Linked DNA regions of Yarrowia lipolytica. The protein of the gene in region 1 interacts with the protein of each later gene in a biochemical or structural test. Links are inferred from orthologs where the notes say so. Each region holds a gene or a part of one and is shown on either strand. Other genes may lie near its edges.

Region 1 (7,581 bases):
CGACCAATGTCCACGGACTCTACAGCGAACTCATAGCCTTATCAACAGCCAAAATGGCGCCCGAAACCTGCAAATTGGTGGCAAAATAGTACACCGCCCTCGCAATACTGTCTCTGGACACCCATCCAACGTCGTCGTCGTCCTCCACCAGGGAGGGCCGTTCGGGCACCTCCATGCCATCGGTCATATTAGTAGGCACGTATCCGGGACACACAGAGTTGCTGCGAATCGCATAAGCGCCTCCCTCCACCGCCACGGCCTTGGTGAACATGTTGAGAGCAGCCTTGGTGGTGGAGTAGACGGACAAGACCGGGATGATGGGCCGGAGTCCCTGGACCGACGCCAGATTGATGATGACGCCGTTGCCACGGCTCTTGGGACGCGGCGAGTTCTCGTGGCGCTCCACCCATGCCTCCAGGGCATACTTGGTCAACTTGATGGCTCCAGTGAGGTTTGTGGCCACAATCTTGTCGATGAGCTCCACCTCCATATCTGGCAAGAACCCTCCTTGGGCAATTCCCGCGCCATTGACCAGAATATCAACAGCCGCAAAGTCCACAGGCGGTCGCTGAGCCCCGGTAACGTCGTAGAAATGGCCCTGGTGTCGCTGGCCCTCGGGAACAGGTATCAGTGGAACACTCTTGTCCAGAGCCTCCTGGTTGTAGTCCAGTAGAATGATAGTGCATCCATTGAGGGCCAATTTCTCGGCGATGGCCATTCCAAGGTCCCCGGAGCCGCCGGTGATGACGGCCGTATGATCTGATAATTCGCCCATGTTGTTGAAAGGAGAATCGGGTCCCAAAAGGAAGGAGGGAGGGGAGCATAGGACAGACTATATATACTAAGAACAAGGCTAATATGGAGACTTTCACGTGGTCCAAAATTGTCATAAATGAAGATATATAACCCATATAAATTAGTCAGCAATGAATCTGACTCAGCCATTTCCATCTGGAGAAACACCCACATCAAAACGCCTCTCATATCCAACCTCCATCCAAGTATCTCAACATCTGACTATCACACCCCACTCACCACCCCCACACTCTTATATGTGGGGTAACAAACAGAGTTTCGAGGCACCATCACTTAACACGACGTTAATTACTTGGGAATTAGTTGAAGAAAAAATCGGCTGGGGGTGCAAATAAGAGGTTCCAGATATGCCAGAAGAAAGAGATATATACCAAAAAATTCAGAAAAAGCGTATATATTTAAATAACCAACAATTCTCGGACCGTACACTACAAAATTGCCGGATATTGCTATTAGTTGTCTCAACAGACGTCGAGGTTTACTTAGGATTATAGTTGACACTCAGAATACAATATTCAAAGCAAAAATATTGGAGGAACGCAAATACTGCCGAAAATTGCTGGATACACAAAAACTGCCTTAAATCATTGCTCCTGCCTCCATATACAAGTATCGCACAAGCTTAGGTAAAACATTCCAATTCTTACATACATACAAACAAGTTTTGAGACCACCACAGACTGGTCCCCCACTAAATCAACTTGAGACCGGTGGAAGGAGCGCCAATGGCAGAAATACCTCCGATAACATCCAACTGACCCTTGTGCTTGGGCAGGTACTCGGCTCCGGTGAAAGGATCCTTCTCAGATGCATCGCCGGGGTAAATGGGCTTGAGAGACCGGGGACAAATAGCAAAGTTGGCGGTCACATCAAAGTCCAGCTCAATGGCGTCTAGAGGCTGCGCATCTGCTCGGTGCTTCACCTTTCGAGCCTTCTCGGCCTGCGCAGGAGCAGGGTTGGTCTCCAGGAACTTCTCAGCGTACACAGAAGCAGAAGCGTAGTTCTTGAGCTTGAACGCCTGGGTCATGGCCACCTGCCAGGGTAAACCAGCATGGGCGGGCTGCAGCTTGAACTTGGTAAAGTAGGCGGCCAGCTCTAGGTTGCGCTTGGGATCCTCCTCGGCGATTCGTCGACGCTCCAGCTCGATGGAAAACGCGCCAATGTACTCCCGGCAAATGTCAATAATCTTCTCGCACTCGTCCACAGAGTCGTGCGTGGGCACAAGCATGACGGCAACAGTGTAGAGAATCTGACGGAAAGCGGAAATGGCAGCAGGGACGTCGTTGGCTCGGATAAGCCGGAAAGCAGCCTTGACATCGGAAGAAAGAGAGTCAAAGCCGGGGACAAGAGGCAGAGAGGTGTCGTCGTTGAGAGCGCCTCTCACAAAGAGCTCCAGGGGAGGCAGATCTGCGTTAGACTTGTAGTACAGCTTGGAGGCCTCGTACACGGTCATGAACCGCTGTCGCAGAGGCTCAAAGTCGACAATACCGATCTGGCGATTGAGCAGCTGGGCGGCAGTCTCGAAAGAACCGGCTGCGACATGCACAGCGGCGACAGACGAAGCCCGGATCCAGTTCTCGGGCTCGGACGAAGTGGCGTCAAGGTTCACAGAAGCATTCTTCTTGTGGCCCTTGGACGAGGGAGTAGAGGGAGCAACGGGAGCAACCTCAACGTCATCAACGTCGAGATCGTCGCCCATGTCCCATCCAGCATCACCATCGCCGTCGTCGTCCTCAAGGTCGAGATCGACCATGTCCGAGGTGACGGCTCGAACTCCGTCTTCCTCGTCGTCGTCGTCCTCGCCTTCGTCAACCTCAACCTGGCCAAGCAGAGCTTGCTCAAAGAAGGAAAGGGAAGTCTGCTTGAGAGGCCAGTCGCCGAGAGGCTGCTGGACAGCGGGAGTGGCGGGCTTGAGACCCTCACCAAGGGTCATCTTCACGTCGCCCTCCTCAACGCCGGCCTCGGCCAGAATATCTGCAGCAACGTCGTCTAGACCTCCGTGCTTGGCAGCAGCGTAGGCATGAGACAGCAGACCGGCCGATCGGAAAAGATCAACTCGAGACTCTACCGAACCGGTGTACAGGGAGTTTTGGAGCATGGAGGCACCGTCGCCTCGGTGGGCAGCAATGGCAGCCATCTTCTGCAGCTTGGGCGAGTCGCCGGCAAGCACGTAGACAAACGACAGCTTGTCAAACAGCTGCTGCTTCTGGTACACGAGCTCGACGATTCGGAAGTTGCCCTGCGACAGAGCCTCCTTTCCGAGCAGCGTCCAGTACGAGGGCTCGTCCAGAATCTGGGCCTGCTCCAGGGCCTCGGTCAGGTTGCCGCACTCGATGGCGAGATCAAACTTGACCTTAGGGTCCTGCACAAACTGCAGCGCAATCTCTGGGTAGCCCTTCTTCTGCAGGTACGAAATGATGGATTGGCCCACGAGGTTGGACGACTTGATGATTCGCAGCACCTCAGAGAAGTTCTTGTTGACCAGCGCCCGCTTGAACCGGTACTCGGTGGGGTCGATTCGGACCACCTCCACCTCGCCAGCTCGGTTCAGACAGTAGACTCGTCGGTCCTTAACCCGCACAATGTACAGAGTGTTCTCCAGAGTCTTGATGATGCCGGAGTCGCCGTTGAGCAGAGTGTACTTGAGATGGTTGAGAGTGGTGTAAAGCAGCACTCCGTTGTCGTCCCAGCACGCGGACTTGATTCGAATGGTCTCGTGAAGAGACGAAATGAACTTGAGCGTGGTGGCAGAAGCAATGGTCACGGTGTGTTTGGTCAGCAATGCCACGTGCTTGCCGTCCTTGCTCCAGTTGACATACTTGACGCCGGACACAGCAAGTTCGGCCACAATGGTCTTCTGGGCAACGTCCAGCAGGTAGACGTGGGAAGGACCCAGCAGGAGAAGTTGGCCCGACGAGCCGGGGACAACCACAATATCCTTGACCTGTTTGGGCAGCTTGATGGTTCGGGTGGTGGTGTTGCTCAAGTCCCGTATGTCAATGGTCTGGGCATTCTTGTTGAAGACGGCAAATCGGTTTCGGGCCACAAAGACGGCCTGAGCAGCGTTGCCGCCAATTTCCTCGGTGGCCTCAATGCCACCGCTGGCAGCGTCCTTGGGCAGATGGACCAGGTTGTAGTTAAACTGGTCCTTGTCCTTGGTGAGCAGCAGCACAGCCCGGGCAGCAGGGTTGTAGCTGATGGACCGAATGGGTGAATACTGCGAGCCGTACTTCTTGAGAGACACCAGGGGCATACTGTCCTGCTCTGAGTTGAAGTCAAACAGCTTGAGTTGCTTCTCCTTAGACATGTAGAGCAGCGAGTTGCCGTCAATGGTGGAGGCGGGTCGCTCTCGCTCCATCTTGAACACCATGATACCGCTCTCGTGGCCAGCAGCAAACAGGTTGATGTTGGGGTGAGCAGTGAGGGCCCAGAATTTGTCGTTCTCCCGCTTGAACTGCTTGATGAGAGTTCGCTTGTGCAGGTCCCAGGTTCGGATCGTCTTGTCCTCGGACACAGACACAATCACGTCCTGGTAGGGGTGGAAACAACACGACAGAATGTTGTTGGTGTGGCCTCGGCAGGTATCGACCTCCCAGGCCTTGGTGTCGCTCATTCGCCAAATCTTGAGGACCCGGTCGTCACCACCAGACACAATGAGAGGCAGAGTGGGATGGAAAGTCGCCCAGTTGACACCACCATCGTGGCCCTCAAGAACGTACTTGACAATACAGTCCTGGTTGCCAAACATGTCCTGGCCACCCTGCTGGGGATGTCCGCCGGGGCCGCCGGGACCACCGCTGTTTCGAGCAGCCATCATCATCTGCTCTTCGAACGACATGGATGAGCCTGCGCCGCCAGCAGACACGCCGCCGCCGGCAGAGTGCTTCTTTCGCAGGCCGGAAATGTCCCACACTCGCACGGTCTGATCCAGACAGGCAGACACAACCAGGTCCTCGGAGGGGTGGAACTGAGCACTCATAATGTAGTGCGAGTGGCCGGTGAGACAGGCAATCTCCTGTCGGTTTTGCCAGTTCCAGATTCGAATGGTCTGGTCATCGGAACACGAGATGATCCAGGGCAGCTCGTGGTGGAAGAAGACGGTTCGCACGTAGTCGAGGTGGCCGACGAGAGTGAAGAGACACTTTCGGGTCTGTAGCGACCAGACCTTGATCTTGTAGTCGTCGCCACAGGACACAAACAGCGGCTGGGTCTTGTGGAAGTCGACACCTCGAACGGGGCCATCGTGGTCCTCGAACCGGTCCACCAGGGTTCCCATTCGGTAGTCCCAGAGTTGGATGGTGGACGAGTGGAGCGAGACCAGGACCCAGGGGCGGGTCGAGTGAAAGGCTAGGCCTTTGGCTCGGGAAGATTTTGATTCAAACTGGGTTAGTATACGAGTGGAATCAGGATATGGCATGAGCTGACTACCGGGATGACACAACGCGTCACAACGTAAACAGGCCGTGGTCACACACATCTGGACACATCAAATGTGAACAAGACCGAGTAGTTGTCTTAAAGCAACAACCTCTGTTGTGAAGCAGCAGATTGGTGAACGACAAGGAGTAACGTGAACATGGGCAAACCAAGCCAGTGTGCCAACAGGTCATCATATTGTTGTCATTGCTACCATGTCGCTACCATGTCGCTACCACGTTTGTCCCATAATGCGTCTCGTCATGAGCAACGGTTGATCACATTTCACCCCCGCACTTCATTCCACGCTGTCTGTCGCTTCTGCGTCGCTTCTGTGTCGCTTCTGTGTCGCTTCTGTGTCGCTTCTGTCTGTCGCCCTAATAGTGTCATCGCCGGCGGTCTAGATTTCTCGCCCAATGGTCACCTCACCGCTCAAAAACCCGCCTCGATTTCTCGCCCAATGATCACCTGACCGCTCAAAAACCCGCCTCGATTACTCACCTTAGTTAGCATCTCCATCTTGACGGATTGTGAGATGTGTTCTCAGTTGAAGAAAGATCGAGGTAGTGCGTTCTCGAAGTGACGTGTTGGGAGAACGTGGCACAAAGTTTATTTTGACGGAGAATTTGGGGAAGATGGGGAGGACACTAACGGTGTTGTGGATGGGAAGTGGGAGGCATTGGAGCAAATATAACAAGCTGATTCGGACAATTGTAGCCCAAACATGATACGGTCAAATTTTGGTCCGAATATCTCGTGTTTTGGTGGAATTAGAACAGTCTTTTGTTCACATCCCCGTCGTCTACTCCCAAGTAAACTCTCAACTGGAGACAATAAATTATTTAAGTTGTATCACTACAGAAAAACGCATACTGCAGAAAATAATACGAAAAATGTTATGTTATAACATTGTATTCATACATTATGTACTGTAGCCCTGTAGGAATGTATGTTGTAATATGTATGATGTTGTAAAAATGTCTTTAAATAAAATATATCATGTTGTAAAAATGATATTAAAAATATTAGTATGTTATAAAAATGTATTATGTCATTATAAAAATATATATATAAAAAAAAAAACGTGACAATACTCGCATGTCGGGAATTTCGTATGAAACGACCTACATTCTGTACTCGTAGTAAACATGATAACAGTAATTTTTTCAAAGTGGATTTTCAAAGCTTCGATCTAAGCAACACTGAAAAACCCACTTTTTCTCGATATCTCCAGTAGTTACGCCATTCGAATCAGCCCGGCGTGGGGAGTTCAATGATACAATGATGTCCACTAACGGTGTACTCTATAGTGTACTCTTTACTCAATGTGGATGTGTGGACTCTAGCAGATCATACCTAGTCCAACTGCGTATCGTCACTTTGCGACCGTCTCAATGACATGAAAAGTCCTCAATTGGTTTACGTTCTCTTCGACTATCATCTTACTTCACATCCTTTCACGTTCCTTCACGTCCTTTCACGTTCCTTCACGTCCTTTCACGTTCATCGTCTATCTGAATATGTTGATCAGGTTTGTGGACAGCCTTCCAGATAGCTCTGGAACCCGGCCATACAATACTTCAGTAGTATTACTCTCACGTTTCCCTATTATACTGGTTGATATCGCGGAACTGTCTCGTTGCTGAGTCATGATCTCTTCATCAGACCTCCGATAACGAGGTGTGTCGACACATGCTCGACTCGACCGATACTGATACTGTAACTCGTACTTATGCAGTTCGGACAAACTGCCGATCTCTCGCAATTATTCCATTCTTGGGCGCACTCAAGACTAAGACCTGGGTGGCAAACAGAATAAAAATAAATAAAATGACAACTTTAATGGTGGACGAGAACCATTGCGGCTGATGATTGAGCGCCCGGATGGAGCTGAAAAGTAGTCAATTGGAGAGATGGCGATCGTGTAATTCCGGCGGTATAATTTTTGTTTACATTTGGTCGCTCGTAGCTTTTCTAGAGCTATATTTTCTAGAGAGAAAAAAAGTTCGAGTAACAATATTCTTTATTTATATTGTGTTCTTTATTTATATAGTGATCTTAATTGTGCTAAATGACACTGTCAAAAGTGGTGACTTAATAGCCAGAATAGGGCCAGCCAAACGGGTTCAAAAAACGCCGCAATTGAGCCGGAAAAACGCCGAATCGAAAGAGCCACTGTTTCCCTGCTCCCTCAAAATATGCAATTACAAATCATCGCCATCTACAGACGCATATGGACACATGCACATACTTGCACTCCACAGCAACTCATGCGAGTCTTGCATGAGTGGCAAATGGCAGTGGCGTTAGCAAGAGACGAGATGCGGCGTAGATAATCGATTTGATGCA
Region 2 (4,662 bases), about 250 kb from region 1:
GTGGTCGATTTCTGAGTCGGTGGCGGCCAATAGTAGATTGTAGAAAACGGTGAAGGCCCGGTTGTCCTTTTCGTGAGGCAGGTGTGTCAGCATTTTGACCGAGGACAGGGGCAGGTCTGACAGCATGATTCGAGTTTTGCACACGTTTCCGTCGGCGTCCAGAGAGACGCAGACAGACAGGCCATTGTGCAGCAGTGTGTCGACGTTTTCAGGTGTCTGGGCCGTCAGAAACGGCTCCAGCACGTTGAGGGCCGTGGCTGTCTGGGGCGGGATGTTGGGGAACTCTTGCAGACATGCCAGGAAAGAAGAGGGGGCTGACGGTATCGATGATCTGTGTTAGTGGCATTCAATAGGTGGTTTGGAGGTAGCATCAGGGAGAAGTAATGCTTCTTGCATCCAAACAGCTTTGTTGCGTTGAGGCAGTAGCATTGAAATTCAGGACGCAGGACGTATGGTCATGAAGACGTTCGCTCATGATGTAGTTCCTCTGCCAGAGCCGTGGCTCGTTCCGTCAGTTGTACTCACCCAATAAAAATACTCTGATCTTCGGAACGCTTCCAGGCGTGCTCCCACACGGAGTTGAGGAAATCGATGTCAATGTGGCCGTCAAGGACGAGCACCGAGGTGGAATCGATTCGAAGCGAACGATCTGCGGAGTTGTACTGCTGGTGTAGGGTGCCGAGCAGCGCCGAGGTCGATATTGGCACCGCGGCGGAAGACAGCGGAGGCACGTTCATCTTGGTGGCTTGCGTGTGTCGGGAAAGCTGTCCGTCTGAAGATGTCTACAGAATGAAGCTATTAGTGGAGCTACAGTACATACATACAGGTAGCCTCTCTCTTAAATGTGCGCTAAAAATAGTATGGTTTGAAACCAACCTTAGGTGGGAAAGAGGTAAACAGATGATTGGAAAAAGGTGGACTTAGTGTAGACATGTGTCAGTGGACATAAAATGAGGGACACAAGCTTCTTGAAAATCCTCAGCGCCTTTTGTCGTGGTGTTTTTCCACCCGGAAGCATTTCTACAAGAGCGTCAAATAGGGGGATGCAGCAAGTCCCAAGAATACAAAAATACCAACCTCATACAAGCACTTGTCCCACCCACGCACCCTTCATGCACCCTTGCACATGTCAGCCAATTGTGGTTATATATATAAGGCGGGCTATAGGCCACTTTGAGACGGTAGTGCCAGTGGGTGGCAGTCTGGTAGCGGCATTTTCCGCCCCACGGCTGATTATAGACTGCCACGGTTTCAAAAAGACTCAACATCCGCCTCTTTCGGCGTCTCTCTCGCCCGCAATATCTCTCACTGTACAGCCAGCAAACGGTATATTGATACATACAGGTAGGGCGGGTTTAGGCTGTAGGGAAAGGTGATGAGCCAGCCTCGTGCAAGGGGGGACGTGAAAAGAGCGACCTACGAAACCACCAGTTGGGATGGAAACAAACACAAAAAGCTCACTTTCAAGGACATGAGACTGCTGGGGTCGTGTACAGGAATTGCACTCCCGGCACACTAATTATAATCCCACATTCAACCCCTGACATTGACAGCTTGCAGTCTCCAGATAATTTAAATTGAAGGCTAATCCGGACCTGACAACACATGAAGTTGCACCAGTGATTGCAGAACAGAACAATGGTACTTGTACAAATACGAGTACTGGCCGAAGAGAAGTACATACGGTATATATATTGACCGATGACTTCTTAGATAGGCGAGTTAGACCACTACAAACATTGCAATATTGCAGTGTACAGTATGTATACTATACCGCGATGTGCTGTAGCTGGATACAGTACGATACCGGAACTTGTGCTGACACTTGAATTTTTCAGTCGTACTTTCAATCGTACTTTCAGTCGTACTTTCAGTCGTACTTTTAGTCGTACTCTCACTCGCACACTCGCCTCGTACAGTGTACATAGTTGTTCCGATAGCGATCATCTCTCCAAACTGATACAGAGGATCGACATGCTGCGCTGTCTGTCGGTGGTCACTATGCTTGATATACTACAAGTACCTGTAGCTATAGTGCAGTCATAATCTGACCGAGAAATGGAACGAAGCCATAGCCGAACTACAATGTAGTACCACAAGATGTGAAGCAGCAGCCAAATGAATGAACCTAGTTGGCTTTGGTGTTTTTTGGGCACCTGTTGACCCGCTTATTCATCCTTCCACCTCACTTGCCGTGCGTGTCTCTCCCAACTCGACCCCGGCACACGATCATATTACTGTATGCGCCAACGATCTTGTCTGAAGAGATGGATTAAGTTCTGTTGGAAGAGGAGGATCACGTGAATTGGGGTATAAATAGAGACCTAGACGTGTTTCGTCGGTTCGGAGGCTGTCACAACCCATCCCCCAACCCCAACCCCCCATCATATTCGTCACGTGACGGTGCGCTGCTCTCCCTCTCATTGCTATGAGTCTCCAACTGCTTCGTGGGCGCAATCAAGGTTCGGAGTTTTGAAAGGGTCTTTTCGCTTGATCTCAGATTGAGAGCCGTGCGCAGTGGACGTTATAAGGACTCTTTTCGACTGGCCCAGACCTCACTGCAAATCCACAGTCTGAACAGGGCCCCTAGCCACCCTTATATACTTTCTAGCCACCAGCTATACCGCTTTTAAGGACCACAAAGTTACCACCTACCACAACCCTGAACACGCGTAAAGTTAACACGTAACTATCACACGCTAAGTGCACTCCACCTTCCTACCTTTTCAACTCAACACATACACAGACCGAACGCCAACCATGAAATCCATCGTGAGCGTGCTGACCCTGCTGCTCCTCATCAACGCCGTGGCCGCCCTGCGGTTTGTGCTGCCTGCCAAGGACAAGAACGAGCTGCCCTTTTGTGTGCGAGACTTTGTCAAGAACGGCGAGCTCGTTGTCGTCACTGTCGAGTCTCCCAAGTACGCTGACGGCCAGCAGCTGAGCGTGGTCGTTCGAGACGCACATGGAAACGAGTACACCCGAATCAAGAATGTTCTGGGCCGAGAGATCACCACCTTTAGCTCTCATCAGGACACTGCTCTGGACGTGTGCTTCCACAACGTGGCCAACTCGCACCAGGATCTCGGAAAGACCAAGGAGATTGATCTGTCGGTCGCCATTGGAGCCAACGCCCGAGACTGGGAGCAGATCCAGGCCTCCGAAAAGCTCAAGCCCGCAGAGGTGCAGCTGCGAAAGATCGAGGAGATCGTCGATGAGGTGGACAAGGAAATGAACTACCTCAAGATGCGAGAGATCAGGCTGCGAGACACCAACGAGTCCACTAACCGACGAGTCAAGTTCTTCTCCGTCGGCATCACCTTGGCTCTCATTGCTCTCGGCGTCTGGCAGATCATCTACCTCAGATCTTACTTCCGATCCAAGCATATCATTTAAAAGGGGTTCAAATCAAAAAATTGATAATTGTTAGAATGAAAAGAGACACAATGTGACGCGCTCGAGAATGAGGACGCTTGAAAAGTGTCTGCTTGTAGTGGTCAGAAAGGACTGTTGTGTACTCGTAGAACGTGAAAGCTGATTTGGACGACAAATCGTGATCTGATGAACAATGGTTATAACGATTGTAATGGTTGCACTATATACTCACTACTTGTATGGTCATTAGGTAATTCGTATCTTTCGTTACATATAAATAAACGCTCGCCAAGAGGTCATCGCATATGCTTGCGTCTGATCTGGGTCTCTCTTCTGGACTTTTAGAGCTTCTTCAGTAACCCCTCAAATGCTTGAATATCAATCTTGCCGCCGACAGCTCCAGCCACCTCCATCATGTCTTTGAAATCCTTCTCACTGGCGTTATCTTTCACCAACTTGGCTATTCGTCGTAGATCAGCAGTGTTAATCGTGTCTGACTTTGTGAACCATGAGAACGCCAGAGGCACATCTTCTACAAAAACATTGTTCTTCTTCCTCTTCTTCTTTTTCGGTTTCTCTTCAATCGGCTCAATTATTCCACCTGTCCCTCCATCACTGGCAACAAAGAACCCTCCTCCTTCATCGCCCTCTTCTTCACTGGCCACAAACCCACCTCCCTCGTCTTCGTCACTGGCCACAAAACCTCCGCCGCCTTCACTCGATGCGTCGTCTTCAATGTCAGCGATTTCCTCCGCGAGAAACCCTCCCTGGTCGTCCCCTGAGCCCTCTCCTTCAGACACAAACCCCGGATCCAGCACCTGGCGCGTGATCATGCGTGAAAAGCCGTCACTGAAGTCGTCGAAGGTGATCACATCGTTGAGAAAATGCGGTTTGAGTATATTCACGCATTCGTCAAGGTTGTCCGTGCCCGAAAACTCCTCCACAGACCAACCCAGGTCCATTATCACGAGTGGCACATCAAACGCCGATATGACTCCGTCTTCTGCATGTTCGTCGAACGCCGCCTGTAAAGCCGTTTTCTCCACTCCCGACAATCGCACCGGTCGCCCAGGCTTGGCACTGCTGATGGTGAATGACTTGGTCCAGTCCATGTCCTGTGGTGGTGTTTTCTGAATCAGCACTTTATTGTATTGTGAAGAAACAGAGATGGTTCAAGGCACTTGCAGTTCACATGCAGGTGTTTATGGCGATGCCCATTTTGGAGGCGCAGCAGCCAGTCCACTTGTGCTTGAGACAAACTGGTGGCCAATATCTAAAGTCGGCTTA

Evidence for each region. The genes of interacting proteins can lie anywhere in the genome.
Region 2: the proteins of YALI1_E23691g (region 1) and YALI1_E26205g form a complex in vitro, tested with the Saccharomyces cerevisiae proteins (2 studies listed by BioGRID, with this or other methods). The link is inferred for Yarrowia lipolytica from reciprocal best matches to the Saccharomyces cerevisiae genes COP1 and ERV25.

Annotation. Positions count from the first base shown.
Region 1 is NC_090774.1:2,366,832-2,374,412, reverse strand, and holds YALI1_E23691g (uncharacterized protein), read right to left. Parts: upstream 5,294-7,581; coding exon 1,508-5,293; downstream 1-1,507. Other genes in the region: YALI1_E23736g (uncharacterized protein), read right to left, coding at 20-775. UniProt on the Saccharomyces cerevisiae protein: The coatomer is a cytosolic protein complex that binds to dilysine motifs and reversibly associates with Golgi non-clathrin-coated vesicles, which further mediate biosynthetic protein transport from the ER, via the Golgi up to the trans Golgi network.
Region 2 is NC_090774.1:2,617,810-2,622,471, forward strand, and holds YALI1_E26205g (uncharacterized protein), read left to right. Parts: upstream 1-2,760; coding exon 2,761-3,396; downstream 3,397-4,662. Other genes in the region: YALI1_E26181g (uncharacterized protein), read right to left, coding at 1-331, 526-737; YALI1_E26223g (uncharacterized protein), read right to left, coding at 3,717-4,487.